Schizosaccharomyces pombe: one gene and its partner. Changing the gene in region 2 together with the main gene of any one other region gives a genetic interaction. Each region holds a gene or a part of one and is shown on either strand. Other genes may lie near its edges.

Region 1 (4,424 bases), on a different chromosome or scaffold from region 2:
TTGATCATTTTTCACAAAATGGTATTTGCAATTAGAATACGCCAGTTTCACACTACTCTCGTTTCTGCCGAAAAGAATGGATTACAGAAGTTGATCCCCCCTAGGCTGAAAACCATTTGGAATCAAATGTTGGTTGAAACAAAAGGTGCTGGTAATGGTCCTGAGCGCTTTGAGATGATTCGTCAAAAATACAAAGCTTTGACTGCCGATGAGATCCAAAAGTATAAAAACAAACTCCAGGAGCAGTTCGATGCTGAGAAAAAGCGTTTTATGGAGACTCTACGATCCTTTACACCTACAGAAATCGATAGTGAAAATCGTCGTCGCTCGAAGGAGGCTCACAGCACGGGCAGTCGCTATTACAGACTTCGTCATCCAGATGTTCCTAAAAAACCTTCTTCTGCTTTTATCCTCTTTTACAAGGAGCTTCGAAACAATCCCAAGCTACGTCAAGAGTTAGGTATTCCAGAAGCCATTTCCACACTCGTTGAAGAGACCCAAAATGCATCAAAGGCGTGGAAGGAATTGGCGGAAGACAAGAAAAAGCCATTTATTGATAAAAGCAAAGCACTTAAAGAGCAATACGATAAGTTTATGAAAGAAGCCGGATTTCGATGATGCACACTCTACTTGCCCAGATCTTTTTTTTCTATAGATTTCTTGAATCAATGAGTTTACGTTTTATTTTACTAGCATACATGCTTGAAATATAATAAATTTCGATGCCTACACTAAGTTTTCTTTCTGTCGTAGATTCCGCATTGACGAAAGCTTTATTGTCCCAAAGCTTTTTCCTTATGAGTGTTGCGCTTATTTGTAGTTTCTATTAATTTTAAATTGTATTTTGCATATAATAGTGCTTAATACTATGATTGCTTGATACCTTGAAATATCTAGTTAAGAGGATAGCATTAAGCGGGTAATAATTTTACACAAAGCTTGTTGGACTAATGAGCCAAATTGATCCATCCCCTTTTTTAACGTATAAGTACGTCTTTAGAAGCCTGTGTCCTGCGCATAAAAAATCTGAAAAGTAATTGTCAATTAAAAAATTTTCTCAAAAGTCAATTTTCTTTTTGTGAAACAAAGTACATAAAATTTCAAAAATGAATATCACAATTTGCACGCCCAATAAAAAAAATTATAAAGTTGGCATTGTTTGCACATTCCCCAGATAAAAATGAAATTAAGGATTTCAGTTTAGGCTGAGGCAGGAGGAAGAATTTCACCACGGTTGACAAGCAAAGCCTCCAAGACAGCAACAGTGGTCCATTTGCGGTTCTCTGCTTCTTGGAAAACTAAACTGTTCTCTCCATAAAATACCTCGTCAGACACTTCCTCGGGATGACGGGGTAAACAATGCATGAATTTGCAGCTAGGTTTGGCAAGCTTCATGATCTCTCCGGTGACTTGGAATCCTGTAAATTGTTTAAGACGTTGTTCCTTCTCAGCTTCTTGACCCATAGAAATCCAAGTGTCGGTAACGACGATATCAGCATTTTTAACAGCAACCTTGGGGTCGTTAACAATTTCAAAAGTAGAACCGTTTTCGTTCGCAGCTTCGTTAACGATTGATAAAATATCGTCGCGAACGTTGACGTCCTTGGGCTTAGCAACGCTAGTATGAATACCAACCTTGGCATTTGCAATCATCAAATCATGTAAAACGTTATTGGCATCACCTACCCATGCAACTTTTAAACCGTCAAAGCTTTTGAAAGTTTCCTTAATAGTGAGTAAATCTGCTAACGCCTGGAGAGGATGAAACGTGTCACAAAGACCATTAATAACAGGACAAGAGGCATGTTTAGCGAGCGTAGCAACATCTGAATATTTGTTTACGCGAGCAACAATACCAGAAACCATACTTGATATAACTTTTGAAGTATCGTATAAAGACTCATTCACTCCTAATTGGATATCATCTTTACCTAAAAACATGGCATTGCCGCCAAGGCAACTGACAGCACTTTCGACTGATACACGAGTACGAGTGCTACGCTTACTGAAGATCATGGCGACATTCTGAGACGACAAACCACTCATTTGAACAGAACGGCGATTCTGAAAATTCTGCTTATAAGCTTGTTTAATTTCAGAAGACCGATCGATCAACTTTACAATCTCTCCGCGACTAAGATCACGAATGGATAGTAAATGACGAGGAAATTTTTTGAAAGACATTTTCAATTGCAAACTGAATAATTCTTCTCGACTAAATATATCAAAAATACGGTTTTTGTAGTCGACTACAAGGAACCCACAAGTTACTGGTAATTTCTTAGATATTCAGGGTGAGATTGCATATAGCCGATATCTAGTTCTCTCTCAGACTGCGAGATTGGCGCCGTAATATATCGTATGCGGATTTTCGACGAGATGGAAAATTTTTACATTATCGTACACTAGAGTTCAGTTGCAAACAAGCTAGTACGTTGATGAAATATGATAAAACAAGTCAAAAATTAAAAACTACTCATAAACATTCTATTTCCTTTCTTTTTCTTATGTTATTCATGGTAATATTGATACAGAACGTCAGAATACTTATCAGCAATAGCTTTTAAATACCAAAATCGTTAATTGATTAGCAGTAAAAGAATATTCATGGGTTTAGCATTTAATTATAGAACTAATGAAAAGGGATGAATTTTTTTCGACCTTGTAATATTTTTTTTATTTACCACCCATTCTTTAAAGAACCAATACATTGTAAATAAAATGTATCTAAAAAACGTGTAGTTATTTTTTTTGTTTATTCAATTATCTCTTGACACTATATTCAAGCGAGCTGAAATAAAACCAATTGTGTTACTATATTGATAACTCAGCATGCTTGTGAAATCAACAACTACCATGAAATGAACAATGAGTTCACAGATTCGCTATATTACAAGCTTACACTTACAGTATTGCATAAAGCGAAACAAGTTTTAACGAAAGAGAAGGGCTTCTTGCCAAATTTTTTTTTTTTTTTTTTTTTTTTTTTTTTTTAACGAGATTATCTTAGATAATAAATTTTATGATAAGTGCTTTTGTCTCATCAGGGTCATTGGGACTATTCAACGCGAAATCAAATAGAAAACAAAATATTGTTTCAAAAGAATGCTTTCATGTATAAATCAAGATATTGAACTGGCTTGCATAGAAATAATGAATATTGTACTGTGTCAGTTAGGACTAGTATTAAATAATGTATATACAAATAGATTCATTGTCGGCAAATGAGTTGCTTTTACAGTGTCATTTATATAGCTTTAATTCATTAAATGTCCATGTCTCACGTTTGCAGCACTTTCATGTAAACTGTTGGTTTCCGATGTAATTTTCAGCCAACAAGTAACATTATCGATCTCATCTTTTTGAGTGATTATCTCCAGAGCAAATCCCTAGATACAGCAATCAAATTTTAACGAATTATAGCTACGTTTACGAAGCAAATGATTTTCCAATTTTGAAACCAACCAAACTGCCTTCTACCAACTACAGTAAATCATAGAATATCACTAGAATTTGGCAATGCTTATTGAATTGCAACAAATTGTCAAGTCCGGTCTTGTACGGAATGGAGCGAAACACTGTACGAAAAGGAGCTTACTATGTTCCAATGCATCAGTCATTGCAAGCAAACGTTTTCAAGGCAGTTTTGCCCCGGGTCAACAACAACCGTTAAACCCACTCGCGAAACCAATTGAACAAGATCGTGATGCCATCATTAGAATTCTTTCCTCCATCGGAAGCCGTCGTGAAGTTGAGCAATACCTACGATACTTTACTTCCTTCGAAGCTCAACGTTTCGCTATTATCAAGGTTGGTGGTGCCATTATCACCGACGAATTAGACACATTGGCACAAAGTCTTGCCTTTTTGAATCATGTGGGTCTTTATCCCATCGTTGTGCATGGCGCTGGTCCCCAATTAAACAAAATTCTTGCCAGCAGAAATGTTGAACCCGAGTATAGCGATGGTATTCGAATCACCGATGCCGAGACTCTTTCTGTAGCTCGTAAAGTTTTCTTAGAGGAAAATGCGAAACTTGTAGATGCTTTGGAAAAGTTGGGAACTCGTGCTCGTCCCATTACAGGTGGTGTATTTCAGGCAGAGTATCTCGACAAAGAAAAATACAAGTATGTTGGCAAGATTGTCAAGGTAAACAAAGCTCCTATTGAACACAGTATTCGTGCTGGAACCCTCCCTATTCTTACGTCTATGGCCGAAACTGCTTCTGGTCAATTGTTGAATGTCAACGCCGACATTACTGCTGGTGAGCTTGCTCGCGTATTGAAGCCTCTAAAGGTGGTCTATCTCAATGAAAAAGGTGGACTTATCAACGGTGAAACAAAGAAAAAAATTAGCAGCATCTATTTGGATAGGGAGTACGATGGCCTCATGAAGCAACCATGGGTCAAGTATGGTACGAAGCT
Region 2 (3,763 bases):
TTCATTAATTTTTTTCGGCTTATTCTAGCTTGTGATTTCATTTACACTTCGTTTTGCTGATACAATTCTAGTTGTACAAACGTTTGGAGACAGGCTCAGGCTTCGGCAGCGTGTCTTAGCTACAGCCATCGTTTTATTAAGGCGTTACATGCTAAAAAAAAATGAGGAAAAGGGTTTTTCTTTGGAGGCGCTAGTGGCTACATGCATTTATTTATCATGCAAAGTGGAAGAATGCCCTGTTCACATTCGCACAATTTGCAATGAGGCTAATGATCTCTGGAGCCTAAAAGTTAAACTTAGTCGTTCTAATATTTCCGAAATAGAATTTGAAATCATTTCAGTCCTTGATGCATTTCTCATTGTTCACCATCCCTACACTTCTCTTGAGCAAGCATTTCATGATGGCATTATCAATCAAAAGCAGCTTGAGTTTGCTTGGTATGTATACTTCTTATATTGAAAATCACAGTCGATTAGATTTTTCTAACGATCGAGGAAATAGGAGCATTGTTAACGATTCATATGCCAGCAGTTTATGTTTAATGGCACATCCTCATCAACTTGCGTATGCCGCTTTATTAATAAGTTGTTGCAATGATGAAAATACAATTCCTAAGCTTTTGGATTTAATAAAGAGTACTGATGCCTTCAAAGTTATATTATGTGTTCAACGCATAATTTCTATTTATTATTTTGAGGATATTGAATAACTTCTTGAATACACTATACATTTAGAGCCTCAAATTTTGTTAAAAACGAAAACTATAATTAGATTTTTCTTTATTGCTGATTAATGCCTGAAATTATGTTTTGTTGTCTGGTTTAAAACCGTGTATTATATACGCATTCTCGTTCATGGTGTTATGTCTAAATGAATAAATAGAGCAGTATCTGTGTAATAATATCCAAAATCGAATGGTTATGTCACAAACGTAAAGGATATATTAATGCTTTATCTATGAACCTCAAAAATTATTCCTTAATCACCTCATAGAAATACTCACGTTGTTATAAAATAGCTCATTCTTGTAGCTTCCTGTGTTAATTGAGTTGAACATTCCCCTATTAGGTATTTCTGAAAGGATATTTTTGATTTCAGCAAATTTGGTCCGGCAATTATATAATGAAATTCATAAAGTAAAAACCCTTAAATCTTAAATCTTAAATAAAATAAGCCGTGTCAAGTTTTTAAAACCTAGTTTTGACATAATACAGTGCAATCAACAAATTGAATCGAGAAAGTAAATCAAGCAATTTACGAATGGGGACACCAATATCCCATATTCTATTCTTGATATTTTGCCAACAAAGAAGATAAAGTTTTCACATCAGCGCCGACGATTCTGTCCAATTCTTGACCCTTACGAAACAATACCATGGTAGGCAAGGCATAAACACCGTTCTTTTGAGCAATATCAGAAAATTTATCTGCATTAACAGCAATAAAAGATGCTTTCTGATTTTGTTCGCTTAATTTTTCAAGAAACGGTTTGAGGTATTTGCAAGGACCGCACCAGTCTGCATAGAAATCAACGACGGTAACTTTGTCAGCACTAGTAGCAATTAGCAAGGAGATCTATTCGAAAAAGTTTTATCTTTTATTTTTTACTATGATATATTATTGACTATACATACCTAATTCGAGTATTGTAATCGCCAAACGATTCAACTGCGTTCACCTTTCTCAAAATACGAGAGCTAGTAAAACTTCTGCGCAGAGCAAAAGATCTCATATGCGGCTTTAAAGAGTTTGCAATAAATCCACGCATTTGAATTATAATTTTGGTTGACGGTTTTAATCAAAAATTTAAATAGGTGAAATTATAGCACTTAGTAAGCTAGAACTACCGCCAGGCGGAGAAAAGTGCTTAGTTGCGATCATAAACATTACTCTTTAATACAATATTTTTTAAATTATTACAACATTAATTCAATAAAAAAAGATTAAAAATTTGGGAAACCAATAAAAAAAATTATAATTTAGCATCATTTTTCCCTCTTTATTATATTTTATTAGAATCCTTATTGGAAAATAGAAGCTTTCAAAAAATCTGTAGCCGAACAATTTGAGAGATTTTTTTTTTTTTTTTTTTTTTTTTAATAACTTTAAAAAACACCTAATGAAGTTTATAAATCCTTACCTTTGTTGATTAAACTAAAGTTACTTTAATTTGTTCTTAAATATACAGCCCAAAGATTTTTGGATGGATTTTTTGTACTCACGATTATAAAAACTAGTACTTCAATCTTAAGATTACATAAAACTTCGAAAATCCGGTTATCAGAATTAATTTGAAATTAAGAAAGAATATCATTTTTTTTTAATTTTTATAATAGTAATTTGGCTTTATGCAGACTATTTATAATTAAATGAATCTCTCTTGCTTTTAAATAGAGCAGTTCCTTAAAGCCGATGTCACTTTCTCATAAACAAAAAAAATTTAAAACTTCTTAAATAGAAAAATGAGAATCAATACATTGAAATGGCAATTTATAAGCATATTGATTATACTTTCCTCCTTAAAAATGTAATTTATATAGATTTACATGTATATTTCCTTTATATATGTTTAAGTGGCACCCCTATCAATGTGGCCGTTTGGTCTAGTGGTATGATACCATCTTAGGGTGATGGTGGTCGTGGGTTCGATTCCCACAACAGCCCATGTTTTTGCTACATAGCATTTTGCAGTTAGTTTTATTTAAACAACATTTTCTTTTAGTCTTACTAGAGATTTTGCGTTTATGGTAATTACATTCGATGTTGTACTGAGGAAGTTTTGCTTCGCATGCTACTGCTTTATATACTTTGATATCAGATGGGAATGCGCAAGCAATTGTTGTTATATATTGACTTTTCTGTGCAAAACGTCTCTTTACGACTACTTTACTCATAAATTAACAAGAAGTAATCAATCTTATCGCTGAAATTCATGATCACCAAAACGTCTTAAGTTTAGAAAAGCTTAAGCAATATTTTTATACAAATCAATAGATTCACATAAAATGAAACAGAGCAATAATAAAGCGACTCAATTCTCATTTCGTTACTCTTAGTATTAGTAAAACAGTAAAAAGATTTCGTTTATAGCGTTAAATAAAAGTATGATTTTTTATACATAATTTTTCTTTATAAATAAAGTATGCAACAACTAGCAACTTCCTCCACGAAGAGCTAACACAAGATGCAAGACGCTGCCTCCTTCTAAATGATAACTTTCAGCATTTTTATCATCAGCCCTACGTGATGTTTGTTAGAATCATTGTATGGATGTTCCCATAGTGCTTACATTTGCTTTCCAGCGTAGATCAGACGCTGCTGTGAAGGAGGGATACCCTCTTTTTCTTCAACCCGTTCTTTGATCCTAGAAACCTTGTCATTTGGATCAATGTCTAATTCGATCTTATATTTTGGTTAGAAACATAGATGAATTATAACTGCATATAAATGTTTTCAACATTTAAAACACGAACCTCTTTCCCTGTCAATGTCTATGATTATATATTAGTATACATAAAAAAGAAATAAATTTATCTTACTTTTACTTTGATAAGCATGCTAACTTTTATAAACGCTTTTCTGAAATTGTTGTGGTTAAACGCTAGCAGTTCCTCTCTCTCCCTATAAGCATTCCCCTCTGGCTCACCTCGCGAAAAATTGAATTGGTCTTCAAAGAGGGGACAATGAGTTTTCAGAGTATTAATATAGATAAATGGCTGTAAGTTTTCAATTCTAAAATAAAAATTTTAGGTTCTGCTACAT

Evidence for each region.
Region 1: of trx2 (region 2) and arg3, extra expression of one rescues a mutant of the other (dosage rescue), as found in Schizosaccharomyces pombe (one study listed by BioGRID).

What each region holds. Positions count from the first base shown.
Region 1 is NC_003424.3:2,271,772-2,276,195, reverse strand, and holds arg3 (ornithine carbamoyltransferase Arg3), read right to left. Parts: upstream 2,276-4,424; 5' UTR 2,185-2,275; coding exon 1,201-2,184; 3' UTR 680-1,200; downstream 1-679. Other genes in the region: cmb1 (cytosine-mismatch-binding protein 1), read left to right, coding at 19-618; arg11 (N-acetyl-gamma-glutamyl-phosphate reductase/acetylglutamate kinase), read left to right, coding at 3,520-4,424. UniProt on the Schizosaccharomyces pombe protein: Ornithine carbamoyltransferase involved in the synthesis of arginine from glutamate via ornithine and the urea cycle.
Region 2 is NC_003423.3:2,316,699-2,320,461, forward strand, and holds trx2 (thioredoxin Trx2), read right to left. Parts: upstream 1,833-3,763; 5' UTR 1,770-1,832; coding exon 1,636-1,769; intron 1,580-1,635; exon of another isoform or gene 1,554-1,579; coding exon 1,286-1,553; 3' UTR 711-1,285; downstream 1-710. Other genes in the region: cyclin CycC-like Srb mediator subunit Srb11, read left to right, coding at 72-438, 503-710; ubiquitin-like protein modifier for cullin Ned8, read right to left, coding at 3,153-3,240, 3,291-3,403, 3,475-3,492, 3,541-3,558; ATP-dependent RNA helicase Spb4, read left to right, coding at 3,685-3,719. UniProt on the Schizosaccharomyces pombe protein: Disulfide reductase which serves multiple functions in mitochondria, protecting mitochondrial components against thiol-oxidative damage as a thiol-disulfide oxidoreductase, and supporting urea cycle and respiration in mitochondria in a manner independent of active site thiols.